Linked DNA regions of Ovis aries. The protein of the gene in region 1 purifies or fractionates together with the protein of each later gene. This does not show direct contact. Links are inferred from orthologs where the notes say so. Each region holds a gene or a part of one and is shown on either strand. Other genes may lie near its edges.

What was found.
Region 2: the proteins of PSMD6 (region 1) and PAAF1 purify together in Homo sapiens (affinity purification with mass spectrometry; 3 studies listed by BioGRID and IntAct, with this or other methods). This does not show direct contact. The link is inferred for Ovis aries from reciprocal best matches to the Homo sapiens genes PSMD6 and PAAF1.

What each region holds. Positions count from the first base shown.
Region 1 is NC_056072.1:37,546,043-37,554,178, reverse strand, and holds the start of PSMD6 (26S proteasome non-ATPase regulatory subunit 6), read right to left. Parts: upstream 3,968-8,136; 5' UTR 3,916-3,967; coding exon 3,771-3,915; exon of another isoform or gene 3,403-3,770; intron 3,163-3,402; coding exon 2,957-3,162; intron 223-2,956; coding exon 77-222; intron 1-76.
Region 2 is NC_056068.1:52,057,250-52,065,385, reverse strand, and holds the start of PAAF1 (proteasomal ATPase-associated factor 1), read right to left. Parts: upstream 4,864-8,136; 5' UTR 4,842-4,863; coding exon of another isoform or gene 4,795-4,841; intron 4,482-4,794; exon of another isoform or gene 4,315-4,481; intron 3,870-4,314; 5' UTR 3,850-3,869; coding exon 3,758-3,849; intron 3,609-3,757; coding exon 3,498-3,608; intron 3,240-3,497; coding exon 3,199-3,239; intron 1,270-3,198; exon of another isoform or gene 1,151-1,269; intron 1-1,150. Other genes in the region: cytochrome c oxidase assembly factor 4 homolog, mitochondrial, read left to right, coding at 7,573-7,827. UniProt on the Homo sapiens protein: Inhibits proteasome 26S assembly and proteolytic activity by impairing the association of the 19S regulatory complex with the 20S core.

The sequences.
Region 1 (8,136 bases):
AAACAGATTTCTGCTATCAATTTCTTATCATAGCATCGCAATTTAGAGGGAATATATCCCCACCACTAAAACGTACGTTTTGGCCTTTTCTGTATTTCGAGTGATGAGGTCATTGTCCATGTAAAATAAACCAATTCTAAGGAGATAGAACACAATGTCCAGTCGGTGACCCAGCGCCACGGTTTTGTCATATGTCTTGCGAAAGGCTGTCAGAGCACCTTCCTGCCAAGAGAACAAAGCAAACAGGTGAGGAAAGGTTAGGTGTTGTGAAAGCTACAGCTTTTTCGGATTTTCTAAGCAAAAAGTGGGGGGGAGAGGTAGGCGTGGAGTCAGGAGAGTACAGCCGTGAGGTGGTAACTGCTGACGCTGGGTGGTACCTGTTCTCTCCACGCGTACAAAGTGTAAGAAATACATCAAAAAAAAAAAAAAAAGAGATACATCAAATGTGTCTAAGCATATACTTATATTCTAGGAAAAACCACCACATTCATAACTTGTTCACCACTGTTTCAGTATTCTTCTTTGTCCTATATATTCCATATTTTTCCTCTAACAATTACAATACGTTACTTTTACTCTCCTGTAAATTATCAATCCTAACAACTAAAGAGTATTAAAAAATTTTACCGTAATCACTCTTAGAATGCAACGGATTATTTGAATATACAGTTCCATCTCAAATCACTGTGGGACGGAAAGTTTTCACTGCTTTAAGAACATGAATATGGGAGACTCCCCTGGCAGCCCAGTTAGGATCAAGGCTCTGCGCTCCCGCTGCTGCGGGAATGGGCTCAACCCCCAGTTCAGGAACCAAGATCCCACAGGCTGTGTGATGTGGCCAGACAACAAAGAACAAAAAAACAACAACAAAGAAAAAAGAAGAAAGAAAACGAGGTGAGCCTGTGACATCCTGTTGTATGAGAAAATAGGGAAGACCACTGAGATCATGTCAAAAGGACAAAAAATCCATCTTAAGGGAACTTACACTAACAAATCTGTAACAAACTGAGCACCAAAAATACTAATGACTGAGATCAATACAGCACAGTGAGAAATAAAAATCCACCAAGTCGATTATTTAGTAACTAAAATAAAATATTAAAAAAGTAGGGCTTCCCTGGTGGCGCAGTGGGTAAGGATCCACCTGCCAACGCTAGACACACGGGTTCGATCCCTGGTCTGGGAGGATCCACGCGTGCCACACGGCAACTAGACCAGTGCGACACAACTGCTGAGGCGGAGAGCCCTGGAGTCCACGCTCCTCAAGAGAAGTCACCACAACAAGAAGTGGCCCCTGCTCGCTGCAGCTAGAGAAAGCCCACACAGCAGCGAAGACGCAGCACAGCCACCGGCAAAGATTAGACAGACAATAAACTGGAGGAAAAGAAAACTCTTCATTTTAGAAGAGTGCTATTTCATTAACATGGACTACATTATTAGAACATCACCAATGGACAAAATGTGGATTCAAGCATATCCTTGTTGAAATTCCTCAAGGCCTGAATTGAAAGCTCTACGTTTCTCATTCATTCATAATACTGCATCCTGTTTAAAACCAAACCAAAGCAAAGCACACACACCACCTACAAAAGCCACAAACTATTAGCTATATTTTAAACTGTCCCGTATTTTTCAACTTTTACAATGACCAGATCTTAAATCTATAGTCAGCAGGGGGAAAAAACAAAAACAAAAAAAACTTATGTTAAATTTAAATAATAATAGTTCAGATCATTTAACATTTCAGCACTTTGCCAAGGTACCAGTCTAACTCCTGTGCCCCTGGGAACTATCATTATTCCTATTTAATAGCTGAGGAAACTCATCCAGTTAAGTAAATCATGATTACTGAAGCCAGAAACAGAACTCAGGCAATCTGACCCAAGAGTCCATAGTATTCAATTTTTTAAAGTTAATGCCATGTTATCCATTATCGAAACACTTCAGGGTACACTGCTTACAATTAAGGACATCCAAAGCCATCCTCTTAACCACTATTATACAATAACTAGGTTAAAAAATTTAAAAGACCCAATACTTGCAGGTGCCCCTCTTATGCCCTGATAGTATAAGTTAGGTTGGCTGCTGGGCTGAAGAACAGTCACAGACAAAGACTGTTCTCTGTCCCTGAGATTTCATCTCAGCATACACGCTGGAGAGACAAGCATATACACAGAGGCACACACAAGCATATTTTTACAACAGCAGCCTATCTTAGCAAAAACAGCTGAAAACACCACACAGGTCCAACCACTGAATAGCTAAATAAAGCGCAACATCACCCTACTACAATGGGCTACTAACCAGCAGTCAACCAGAATAAGCAAGAGCTAAGCACACTAACATGGATGGTCGCGCAGACAGAATTTTGAAAGAAAAACTAAACAGGACTGCATGAGGACACCTTGATACACTTTAAAACAACCTTTTTAAACCAATACTGCCTAATTTCTACAAGTACATCCATGTGACTACAAATGTACAATAAGAGAATTAAAAGATAATATCTCAGGAGGCAGAAAAAAAGAAAGAGCAAATAAAACTTCAGCATTAACTCTAAGATTTTAGTTTCTTACAAGGAGACAATTACTTGCCTAAACAGTAATTTTTAAAATGCACCAGAACCAATGCTTCCCAACCAAGACACGTTACGAAAGTAAACTACAGAAAACATCCAGGTTTGGCAAGATCAGCAGACAAGGATGTCTGCACACGCACTTCTCTGAATCACAGGGAGAGATGGGGAAGAATACACACCAGGCTGCTGTCTGGGGGGCCGATGAGAGCAACAGTGTAGAGAAAACTATTCACTTTTTCTTCATTTCTGCACTGACTCACTAGCTCAGGTAAGCAGATTACCTGTGCAGTTTTTGGAAGGGGGTAGTTAATGTTTAAAATGAGACCCTGAACAGTGCCCATTTCAGGCTACACACACAGGAGAGACCACCTCACCCACCTTGTCGCCTATCCGGCAGAGGTACTCGGCCTTTGCCATCATCGCGTCTCGGATTTCGCTCTCCCCCAGATTCTTCTCTGCATCCTCCAGCTCCTCATCCAAACGTTTCAACTCGTCTTCGTTTGCCTTCTTCATTTTGTTGAGCAGGTCTACGTCCATCTGCCACTCCAGGGACTTACACAGGGCTTCGTAATAAGGAGCCATGTCTGAGAGAGAGCAAGAGGGGTGTGACTTAAGCGTGGGCCCCCCACCCCTACTCCACCCCCATCTTCCTCCCACACAAGCTGTGAAGTCGTCCGCCGGACCCCTGCCCACTAGCAGGAAAGGGCTGGGCACCACGAGGTGCTTGCTACTGGGAGGCCAGCATCAGGACCAGGCCTGTCACCGCCGCCCTCTCCTAGGGCCGGGGATAGGGCAACCCTCGGCTTTTTCACAGCCACACACACCTCAGACTCGTGCACTTAAGGCTATAGCGTCCGCTGCCATCACTACTGGGAAGGGCAGAAGGAACCGATGCCAAGTTTCCCCTCCACCGGCAATGCTAAAGTCCCCGAGAGCAGTCGCTAATGACAAGTAGCCCTGTCTCTGGCTCGGGGCTCAACACCTCGGGATCCCCCCAACCTGGTCCCAAGGCGGGAGGCGCACAGAGCCGCACACCACTCTGAAAGCCTGGAGGTGCTGAGAAAATGAAAGCCCCGAGGTGCGGATAAGCCAGGTCTGCTCTCGGGGTCCCCGTCGGGGTAAACCCCTCAGGCTCGGGAGCGCGGGGCCGCCCGGGCCTAGGCCGCTGACTCGGCGCTCCCGCGGGCCTCACTGTTATCGCGGACGGCTGCCATCAGCTCGTCGCGGACCGCCGCGTCCCCGCGGTGCTCGGGCAGGCTGAGCAGGAAGCGCAGCTGCGCGATGCGCAGGTCCGGGTTCTTGGGCAGACCCTCCTCTTCCAGGTTCTCCAGCGGCATCTCGGCAGCGACAACAGCGGTTCCGAACAGACGGCAACTCACAGCCGAGACCGGCGGCGGCGGCGGCGGCGGCGGGGGAAGTAGGAGGAGACTCCGACTGCGCCAGGACGCCTCCAGCTCGGCTTCCGGTCCCAGCTCCGCCTCCGCCCGCAGCGCCCCTTGCTGGACACTCCCGTATATGCTCACCCGTCCCCGCGGTTTTCCCCCACTCTCAGCTAGGAGAGTCCCAGGGAGGGTGGTACCCACCTCCAAAGTTGGATTTCCTGAACCACTTTCTCCCTCCATTTTTTAGCTATTTCATTTTCCAATCCGTTTGTAATTAAGAGACTGGCAATCTTGAGAATTTTGAAACTATAATAATAACAACAGTAACAACCACCACAACAAAAAACAACCACTACAGTTGTCTAGGCCTTACTCTTCCCCTTTTACCTTTCTTCTTGTACCCATTTCTTAAAAAAATATAGAAGCATAGTTGCTGTACAATATTATATAAGCTTTAAAGGCTATACTCCATTTATAGTGGGCTTCCCGGGTGGCTCAATGATAAAGAGTCCACCTGCAATGCAGCAGATGTGGGTTTGATCCCTGGGTTGGAAAGATCCCCTGAAGGAGGAAATGGCAACCCACTCCAGTATTCTTGCCTGGGAAATCCCACTGACAGAGGAGCCTGGCGGCTGCAGTCCATACAATGGCAAAAGAGTCAAATGTGACTTAGCAATTAAACAACAACTCCATTTATAGTTATTATTTTTTTTTAAATAGGCTGTATTCCCCGTGTTGTACAACAGATCCTTGTAGCTTATTTTATACCTAATGGTCTGTACCTCTCACTCCCCTCTCCTGAATGCCCTTCAATTCTCTCTCCCCACTGGTAACCACTAGTTTGTTCTCTCTATCTGTGAAGACTTCCACTTTTATGTGGAACTCATGTTAATTCTCTTAACACTAGGAAGTAGTACTATCACCCCATCTTGTAGATACGGAAAACAAAGCACAAATAAGTTAGGGAACATGATCAACCAAGGTTATGCAATGTCTACGTCTGAATGAAAACCTCTGCCTGGAGCTCTAAAATCCGTGTTCCTTCCATGATTCTCAGAAAGTGGCTCCCAGAGTTCCAGTCTTAACACCATAGCACCACAGCTTTATTCATAATTTAAAGCGTCGCATGCCTATATTTTCAGCCTCTTTTTGTTCATATTGCTACAGTCTTCAGTACTGGTAAAGGTTACATGAAATTTCACCTAGTGGGTTTTCGTAATTTACTTACTCTCCCTTCCATTAGAAATGCCTTTAGGTTGTCTAAGGTTGTTATCTTCCTATTATAAAAACCAAGGTGAACACCTTGGAATGCACAGGGTATTTTGTATTTTACATTTTTTTCCCCTTAGCATAAATTCCCATGCAGGGTTGATAGGCACAAAGAAGACATGCTTTGTGATTTTCAGATATTGAATATTAAATGCTTTTCAGAGAGACTTAAACCATTTACACAGCTACTGAACCATTTGCAACTGTCACATTCTCACCAGCAGAAGGCATTACCATATGTTTTTAATATTGTGTCTGTTTTTGGTAAAAAAATAAATATCTTGAAGGCAACTCAAATGACAGAGAAAATGCTGAGAACACAGGAAAAATCACCAACACTCCTCCATGTTAAACTTATGGAGCTTCCCAGGCGGTGCAATGGTAAAGAATCTGCCTGCCAGTGAAGGAAACGCAAGAGACATGGGTTTGATCCCTGAGTTGAGAAAATCCCCTGGAGTAGGAGATAGCAACCCACTCCATATTCTTGCCTGGGAAATCTCAAGAACAGAGAAGCCTGGCAGGCTACAGTCCATTGGACTGCAAAGAGTCAGACAGGACTGAGCGACCAAGTGCCCTAAGGACAAAGAACCTTGTAAACCTCTTTCATTCATTCATTCAACAAACATTATTGCAAGGTTGCAAAGTACCAGGCACAGACATAGCCCCTAACACAGCAGTGAAGAAAATGTGGGCCCTGTCTGCATGGAACTTACACTCTAGACACTTAGTTTCACTGAAACTCATCTAGGTTACATATTAATAGGCTCGTTTTGAACTTGTACCTTATGAACTGCTTTCTTCACTCACTATGTAGGGTGGGTGTCTTTTCATGCCAGTAAATATGGATTGACATCATCACTTCTAATGACTACACAGGAGGCCATTACTTGTATGTAATCCTTAACTCCTATCAGTCTGAATATTTTTCATTTTCTCACCCTCATTTTCAGATACCACCAAGTTGATCCATCTATGTGCATATGTTTTCACATTTGGTTTGTTATTCCTTATCTCAAATCTCTAGAAGTGAAACTATTAATTAACAGGGTCTGTACATTTTATATTTTGACATAGTAGATAAGGATTATATAAATTATTTTTCTACAAATTAAATACCAACTCACATTCTCACCAACATTAAACAGAGAGCCTGTCTCCCTCTCTGCCAAGACCTTTTCTTCACCCATTTTAATCTTCAGCAACAAAACGTGTTTTGCTTTCCATTACATTTCTCTTATTATTGTGAGGTTGAATTTCTTTTCACATTTGTGCTGACCTCTTTTTTCCTGTTTGCTGAAACTCCTACCTTGCTTTATCAATTCCTCTACATAATCTTCCGTATTGATCTCCGAGCACTCTTCATATCTTCAGGATATAACTGCTTGTCAAGAAATGCAAAACTTCCTATAGTCATTTTTTACATTTTTAATGAATTTTTTCAATGTAGATGTTTATAATGTTTATACAGTTAAATTTATGATTCTTTTCCTTTATGCTCCATGAAAGCATTATCAAGTCCTATTAAGACCTTTCCAACACCATGGTTTTAAAAATATTCACCCATGTTTTCCTCTGGCATATTGATGCATTTCTCTTTTGTTTTTTGTTGCTTTCTGCACTTAAATCTTTGATCCATCTGGAACGTTCATCTAAAGAGAAATGTATATCATATTTAAAATATTTTTACAACTTACTTGAAAAAAAAAATTTCTAGCCCAGAATCTATTACTTGACCAAAGATTTGACAGCAAAGAATATTTCTAACTAGCTCTATCTGAATGAAATAAGCCTGTCCCCAAATGCCTCTCAGGAGTACCCCTCTGTCATGTGACCCAAAGCTGATCAGATGAAGTGAAGCTGAAGGATACTGGCACATTGGCTGGTTGGCAGGTCATGACTCATCTGGCTTGTCTCAGCTCAAGCTGGTTGGGAAAACTCTGTTTTCTCCTGGAGAATCTGAATTGGGAAACTCCCTGAGGGTGTTCAGACAGTAGCAGTCAGGACAGCCACCACCTGAATAAGAGTCTGAGAAAGAGAGAATAGTAAAAACTGAGATATTCTAGAACTGAAGCACAGGGCATCTCTAGGTGGAAAGAATCCACTGAGTAGTCAGCAATACGGACCTTTTTTTTTAAAGATACCTCTCTCTGAAAACTTAGAACAATGAATACAAAGAGAGAATTCCAAAGGTTTTCAAAGAAAATGAGAATTCCCTGGCGGTCCAGGGGTTAAGACTTGGCACTTTGTCTACCGTGGCCCGGGGTTCAATCCTTGGTTTGGGAACTAAGATCCCACAAGCTGCAGCGTAGCCAAGAATAGAATAGAATAGAATGGCCAACACTTGAAAAAAAATAGTGAAATAAAAGGTCACTTGGAAATGAGTAAGAATCAGAATGACTTGTATTTTCTGAAGTGTGACACTGTGGGCCAGAAGACCGTGGAACAAGGCCTTCAAAGATCAAGACAAAGAGATTTCCACTCTAGAATCCCATTCTCAGCCTTTATTACAGAATGAATATATGAGCATTGGAAGACCCACAAAACTCTCAAACGTACGTCCCGTGCACCTGTTCTCAGGAAGAAAATCACAGAGGAGAAACTCTACCCAGAAAAGGAGGAATCCAACCAAGAGGAGAGGAACCCCTGGGATGGAACGAAGAGCACGCTCAGGATGACAGCCTCACCTAGCAAGCTAGAGGAAGACTGGAGCAGGAAGTGGATTCTCCCCGGTATCTCTTTTTCTCTCTCCTCTCCTCTCTATTCACTAGGAAATCTCACTGTAACACTTCAGAATCTATCCAGAGCCTGACCACTTTCCATTTCTTCTGTGAACACCCTGGTCCATCCCGTCACCCGGATCACTGTGGTCTCCTGACTGGTCTCTCAGCATCTTTCCTTGGGTTCTTT
Region 2 (8,136 bases), on another chromosome or scaffold:
ATGAAAGATGAAGATCAACATGAACATATGCATTTATCCACAGTACAGACATATTAACACAGACTAAAGAGTTAAGCTTCAATAACTGGGAAGTCTGCTTAAGCAGGACACTGCTTTTGTAGAAATATAGGCTAAATAAAATTCCTGCACATAAATGTTAAAATGTTCTCTTCTATTCTTCTCCTGTAGTGTGTGTGTTGTTCTGTAACAGCCCACAATGTGTGTGTGTGTGTGTGTGTGTGTGTTGTTCTATAACAGCCCACAATATGTTGTTTACATTTCTGGCCTCCCCACCAGACTATGGAGTCCTTGAGTTCAGAAAACCAGCAAAGTGCTCAAATTATTCAGTAAATAACTGGTGCATGAAAATTAAATTCTAGGAGTAAGAGGGAAGTAAAAGTCATCATGCCAAAGTCATTCATTCAGAGTAGGAGAGCTTCCTAGAGAGGGTGGGACTTGAGAAGGATCTTAAAAGATACAACTAGGCAGAAAATAAGGGAAAGGAAAGGGGAAGGAAACGGCAACCCACTCCAGTATTCTTGCCTGGAAAATCTCACAGAAAGAGAAGCCTGGTGGGCTATAGTTCATGGGGTCACAAAGAGTCTGAGTGAGTCATGACTGAGTGAGCACAAGGGAAAGGAAACTCCATGTCAGGGAAGGGCATGTCGAGAATAAAGAACAGTCACACAGGAACAAGGGGAGAGGAGGCATCAATTAATATACTAGTTTAGTCACTGAAAGATATTAATGGAGTAACTCACAATCTAGGGTAGAAGTCTGGACTAGAGAAGATCTAGTGAAGAAGGTGTGGCAGGGAAGTGGCATGAAATGTTAGTTCAGAAAGATGCCACAAAAACAGGGTTGAGTGAACTCCGCGTTTTGTCCCTCTCCATGATTCCCTCCTGGCTTCAAATTATCCTAGGAAGTCTGGCCCTTTTGGTATATTATTTCTACCAATCTCCTGTCAGCACTGGCAATGACCTCTCTACATTTACAAAGCTACTGAAACGATCTGAGTCTCAGTATCTTGTCTGTGTAACAAAAGTGAGATTAATCTAACCATTCACCTTTCTACATTTCTACATATAGGCTGCTGAGTGCAGATACAGAACAGGACACAGCTGTGCAAACTGGCGCCGTTCCAACTTACCACAGTTTTCAAGCTCTGCGTAGTTTTGGAGTCCTTTTGTCCCTTTTGTTCCCAGAGCAGCCAATTCTCACTATACCTAGCCTATCAGCAAAACCTTCTTCCTGCATAACAGCCAAAAACTGGAAACAATTCAAATGTTCGTCAGCTGATGAATGGACAAAAAATGTGATATGTCCTTACAGACTATTACTTGGCCATAAAAACATACGAATGCCACAAAATGGATGAACCTTGAAAATGTTATGTTAAATGAAAGGTGCAAAAGGCCACATATTATGACTCTATTTATAAGCAATGTCCAAAACAGGCAAATCCACAGAGAAAGTCAATTAGCGGTTGCTAGGAGCTAGGAGGAGGGGAGAAAGTAGAGAGACTGCTAAACAGCATAAGGTTTCTTTTAGAGGTGATGAAAATGTGTAGAATTACTGACAGACACACAACTCTATGAATATACTAGAAACCACTGAATTGTACACTTTAAAAAGATAAACTTTACTGTATGTGAATTATATCTGAAAACAGTTATTATCTTAAAAAAAAGATCAAAATCCTAATAGTCCCTACATGTTATGGTTGACATCTAGCACATAGATAGCATGCATTTTATTTCAACAAAACTGCCATTTCAGGGGAAAACAACTCTTCTTTAAGAGCTGACTCTAACTCCAACATCACAAAGAAAATATAGGCTATAAGAAAATTTCACATTTCTATATCCAGGTCTATGCATGTATCTATTAATACATCTACACTTACCCTCACCTTTCATCTTACTCTTTTAGACTTAATTCAATCTCGCTCATCTAAGATACTGATTTTTCAGCTGGTCGTCTTTTCTACCTACAGCCTAAGTATTTGTTTCTTTTTTTAAAATATATTTATTTACTTTTAAATAAGGGCTTCCCTGGTGGCTCAGACTGTCAAGAATCTGCCTACAATGCGGGAGACCTGAGTTCAGTCCCTGGGTCAGGAAGATCCCCTGGAGGAGGGCATGGCAATCCACTCTAGTATTCTTGCCTAGAGAATCCCCATGAACAGAGGAGCCTGGCAAGCTACAGTCCATGGGGTTGCAGAGTCAGACACAACTGAGTGACTAAGCACAGCATTTTTAAATGAAACAAAGATGAATATTTTTAATGTATAACCTGTATTTTAATTGCTCTCCAATTAGTTCCCATCTTTAAAAATAAGACAAAAATCCTTGATTCTGAGACCTCCCAGCTACCACCTTTCTTTGACACAGCACCAATTTCCTCCAAAGAAAACTGTTTAAAACTCTATTTCTCCTAGAATATCTTATTATGGAGAGACGTCAAAGGTCTCTGAAAATGAAAAATAATCAGCAAAACAAAGCTTTCTTACAAATTTAAAAGCAAAAAAATTTTAATGTTACCACACTAACTGAAAACAAATGGATGAGAATAATACAGGAATGTCATTGAAAGGAAAAATTTGGAAGACTTGGGAACTAACTATATATGGTAGGGTGAGGCACCAGGTTTTTCACTCTAATGTCTAGAATAGTGATAACTTAAGAACTGAGAAAATCTAGAAAGAAAACCTGTTTGACAACAGACGCGCTCAGCATCAGATTCTGGATCTGATAAGCTCAAAACAGCAGCGAGAGTTTTAACCAGAAATGTTTAGCAGGTAACTATTCAATCTCTGCTTGAAAATGAAGAGAGGTCAGAACTAGAGCTGTAGACCAGGAATCATTATCAGGAAGATCACAACTGAAGCTACAGAACTGCCTAGAATACAATAGTATATGGCAAAGACACTGATTAAGATGCAGCAGCAATGTCTCCACAAATGTCTGTGGCTCCCAATGGGACACGAATAGGAAGCCCTTCCCCTAGAATGGAGGAGTTGCAGTGGCATCCATTCAGCACAGAATGGTCAAGAACATCTGAAGACTGTTGAAGCACATCTCAAGACTACTTGAAGCACTGTTCAAGTAGTCTAGGCCAGGAGAAAGTAGGAAGCTCTTTCCTAGGGGTTGTAAATCCTTTCTCTAAAGGGAAGGCATAGAGATTTAAGGATATTACCTGGGGGGTGACAGCTCAGCCAGGCCTCCCCTTCGTCCTTCCTATGAAGAGAAACAAAAACGTAATTAGACTCACTCAATGTCAAAATGGATGTTATTGATGAAGGGGAGAAAGAACATATAATTTCCAGTTTAGCCAGAGCACTTACACAAATCAGTCTAATACGTTATCCAGGCATAGACAAACTTTATTGAAGAAATACTTATGGATTGTGTTTAATGCATAGACCTGTTAGTTAAGTGAAGCTCAAGTACTTCATCATGAAACACTTATTAGCTGCACTATCCTGGGCAACTTACTTCTTGATTCTGAACTTGTGTTCTTGCAAAGGTAGGTGGTCCTCAATAAATGCCAGTGTTCCTCCTATTACACATCTGGTGTTGTAGTAATAAGGTTTCTTTTCAGCCCACCTAGTAAGGCATAAGTTTCTTAAACTCAGGAGACTATGTTCCATTCATCTTCACCATTGTTTCCATTTTTAAAACCTATTAGTATAATAGTTGCCATTCATGGCACTGCTGTTGGAGAAGGAAACGGCAACCCACTCCAGTATTCTTGCCTTGGAAATCCCAAGGACAGAAGAGCCTGGCCGGCTGTAGTCCACGGCAGACACGACTTAGCGGCTGAACATCTCGGTACGGCTGTACTCATTCTGGTGCCTGGCAAAATAACTTGCACAGTATATGATACACAATAAATAAATGAATGGTTTGTTGTTCATTCCAATTAAGCTGTTAGCGTCTCAAAGGCAGAAACCACCCTTAAGTTTAGAGTACACATCTGAACTCCGCCGAGCATCTATTTAGGTCAGAGTCTGGACATGGTTTAAGTGTTACACTGTTCCCTGAAAAGACCTGTGAAGTGAAGTGAAGTGAAGTGAAAGTCGCTCAGTTGTGTCCGACTCTTTGCGACCCCATGGACTACACACAACATGACTAACACACCACTGGGAGAAGGCAATGGCACCCCACTCCAGTACTCTTGCCTGGAAAATCCTATGGACAGAGGAGCCTGGAAGGCTGCAGTCCATGGGGTCGCTGAGGGTCGGAAACTACTGAGCGGCTTCACTTTCACTTTTCACTTTCATGCATTGGAGAAGGAAATGGCAACCCACTCCAGTGTTCTTGCCTGGAGAATCCCAGGGACGGCGGAACCTGGTGGACTGCCGTCTATGGGGTCGCACAGAGTCGGACACGACTGAAGTGACTTAGCAGCAGGGGTCGAGAAGGATGCCAAGACTCCTGGTAATGCAGATTGCTGGGACTTTTGGAAATAGCTGATAAGTAAGTATTTGCTAAATGACCATGACTATTTGGCCAAGAGTCTTCCTGCCTCTCAGTTTTCCTGTCTTTCTCCAACTCATTGATGCTATTCTGCCTCTGCCATCACACGACGCATACGTGTTTCCTGGGATACATAACTCTTCTGAGAAGGAAAAACAATGACCATGTGGCTTTGAGACTTCTAGGCCCAGGGTTCCCTCAACAATTGATGAGGCAACCCCTATGGACATCCTGGGTCGGGGATGGCGCTCCTTAACGTAAAGGCAACATCCGCTACCCGCCTCCTATGTCCCAGTTCTGGACCTGGATTCACCTGAGAGCCTGGGCCCAGTCGCTCTGAATCCTCAAAGGTACCGCCATCTTGGCCCGCCTCCACCAGCCCGCCCCTTCCGCTCTCTCCCGGAAGTGGATGCCCCACAGAGCCTACGTCGAGAACGAAGGGCGGGATCTACCCGAAAAGCCGCTAATGGAAATACGTGATGTATTCTCCTTCTCTCCCCGCCCCTTTGCGCGCGCGCTCCTTGCAGGAAGCTGGTTCCTGACCCGAGGTTTACTGGGTAATTCGGTAGAGTTACAGCTGCCTGCGAAGCCGACGCCGCTGTGCAGCAGCGCGCGTTCGAGTCCTCCTGTCTGCCTGTTCGGTGAGCACTGTGTGCCGCGATCTTACGCGGTGAAGCCTAGCGGGCACAGCGCGGGCTCGCGAGTGCGCTTGCGTCCTCTCCGGAAGGTGGTGGTTTTAAGTAACTTGGCCGCTTGGGTTTTTCTGCTTACCCATCCTTTCAGTGCCTTCTTAGTCCAGGCTGGCCTTCGCGAACCAACTGCCGACCTTCCATCCTGCCCTGGTCTCTGAGCGAGGGTCTTCCACTTTTTACTCATGAGAGACTGAAGCCAGGTTGAGGTGGGGAATTAAGTCCTTTCGTAGCCCATGCACTTGTCCCTTATTAGCATCTTATTCCTTGCGGTAAAGTGAGTTAAATATTACCTTAAGAAGGAAGGAAACTAAGGGATTTCCTCTGTGGTCCAGTCGTTAAGATTGCCCTTCCGCTATAGGGGACACTATATAGTTCGTTTCCTGGTAGGGGAACTAAGATCCCACATGCCAAAAAAACGGGGGAAAAAAAAAAAAAAAAGGAATGCACGCTAAGGCTTGCGCATAGTAAAACGAGGTGCCAGTATTTGAATCCGGATTTCTTGGCTTAGAATCCACGGCACTGTTCTTTCCACCATATTGTTTCAAGAGGCTTGCCCTTGCCTTTAAAGAGCTCAGTATATTTAGAAAGAAGAAACATGTATAGTAATAGGAGTTATCATTTATTGAACTCTGGACGTGCCAGGCTCCTTACGTGCATTATCTCATTTAGTTTTCAGTCCTGTGAGATAGATTTGATGTGTGTTTTTCAAGAGAGATTATAAAGTGTAATTTGCTCAAAGCATCCCAGTGAGTCAGTGACCAGGCTAATTTTCCAATCCAAGTTTGTTTTCGAAGCCCATTTTCTCCCTCCTCCCTTGCCTTCAAAGCAAATGAATTTTGTGTAGGGCCAGTACTCTTGCCTGGAAAATTCCATGGACAGAGGAGCCTTGTAGGCTACTGACTATGGGGTCACAAAGAGTCGGACACGACTGAGTGACTTAACTTCACTTAACTTATAGAGTTCTTGGGCTCTCCCAGTGGCTCAAAATGTAAAGAATCTGCCTGTAATGCAGGAGATCTGGGTTCAATCCCTGGGTCAGGAAGATCCTTTGGAGAAGGAAATGGCAACTTGCTGCAGTATTCTTGCCTGGAGAAATCCATGGACAAAGAACCTGACGGGCTACAGTCCACGGAGTATCAGAGAGTCTGGACAGGACTGAGCGATTAACACTTTCACTTTCATAGAGTTCTTAAAACCTTTTTGTGACTTCCCCATTGCCCTCTTGACAACTTAACATGTGGTCTTCCTGTGATCAGATACTTTCTCAACTCATCACTTTCATTAATTTTCCTGTTCTCATACTCTATTCTCCAGTCATGTAAAACTTTCAGTTCATCTCATGTCAAATTCTGTCTCAAATCCCCACCCTGCTCTTCCATTGACTAGAAATATTCTTTACATCTCTGGCTCTTCCCTTTTCATCTTTCAAGTCTCAGTCTAGAAATCACTTTCTGCAAGAAAAGAAGGCTTCCCTGCCTGTTTGTCCCCTTGTCTGGCTTAGGTAGTCTCCACTGTCTTCCCAATTTTAGCTGTTTATAGACACTGTACACAAGTAATCAGCCTTTTAACTTACCTAAATTATAAACTCTATGAAGGCAGGAAGTGTATCTGTCTTGGTCACTCTTGTTTTCTCAACTCTAGCATAGAGCTTGGTACATGATAGATACTCAATGATAATTTGTTAAATGAATCAGAGACCCAGGAAAGGCATTAAGGAGTCTTAGCTTATTTATAGCCTGTCATGGTTAAATTTGTACAAAGGCTGAGTCATTTATCTTCAAACCTCTCTTAAGTTCCTTCTATATGCTACCTTGTGCTGGGTGCTCTGAAGCAGGTGATCGTGGAAAGGCAGTGTGGGCAAGTGCACCTCACATTAAGTATTCTCACACTTCACAAACTTAGTTCTTGCCCTGTACCTTGTATGCTCTTTTCTCCACACAACTCTCCATTCTCCCAAATGTCAAACCCTACCCATATATGGTTACTCTCTCAAGTACTAAACTCTGTTCTTCTCTAGCCATAGAATAAGGCTAATTGAAAAAAAGAAGATTGCTTCTCCAATAGGAGAACAGAGATAGCTTCCCCAGATATGTGACATTTCACCTAATTCCAATTCTATTAGTAGAACCCATTTGAGCTTATTAGTGCTGTGCTGAGCATTCTCACATACTTTATCTCATTCTGTTCAGTTGAGACCATTTTGCAAGCCTGGTGCTGGGGGTACCAGGATGAATCAGGCCCAGTGTTTGTCCTCAAATAGCTCACAATCTCCAAGGGGAGACATAGGCATAAATAGGCTATAACAGTGCAGTGGTAAGTGTTGTTTATAACAGAGGAACATATATAATCATGTCCCTACTCTAACCTTGCTCCCATTGATATTCTAGAGACTCCAGAAGATGTCAGCTCAAGGCCATGCCTGGTCCCGACAGGTGAAGAAGGAGGATGAAGAAGAGGACCCGCTGGACCAGCTCATCTCCCGCTCCGGCTGTGCTGCTTCCCACTATGCAGTGCAGGAGTGCATGGCCCAGCACCAGGACTGGAGGCAGTGCCAGCCACAGGTGCAGGCCTTCCGGGACTGCATGAGTGAACAGCAGGCAAGGCGACGGGAGGAACTGCAGAGGCTGAAAGAGCAAAGCAGCGCCCACCACTGAGACCCCAGACCACCTATCCCCAGAGGATGGCCCTGCAGAAACTAACACCCAGACAGATCATGGGAGAAAGAAATCCTGAACAGTGGAAGTTTGTGCCAAGAACTCTAAGACTTGGGGATAGTATTTGGGCCTGGGGCTGAGAGCCAGGCAGCCATGGGTTTGGACATGAGCTATCATATTGATATCCCACACATCCTCATCCATATTGTGTCACCAATATTAAATATTGACCAGTATTTGCCATGTAAAATAGTGGGGTTAAGGGATGCTCTCCTATGCTACATCTTGGGTCAGTGTGCCAAGTACTGT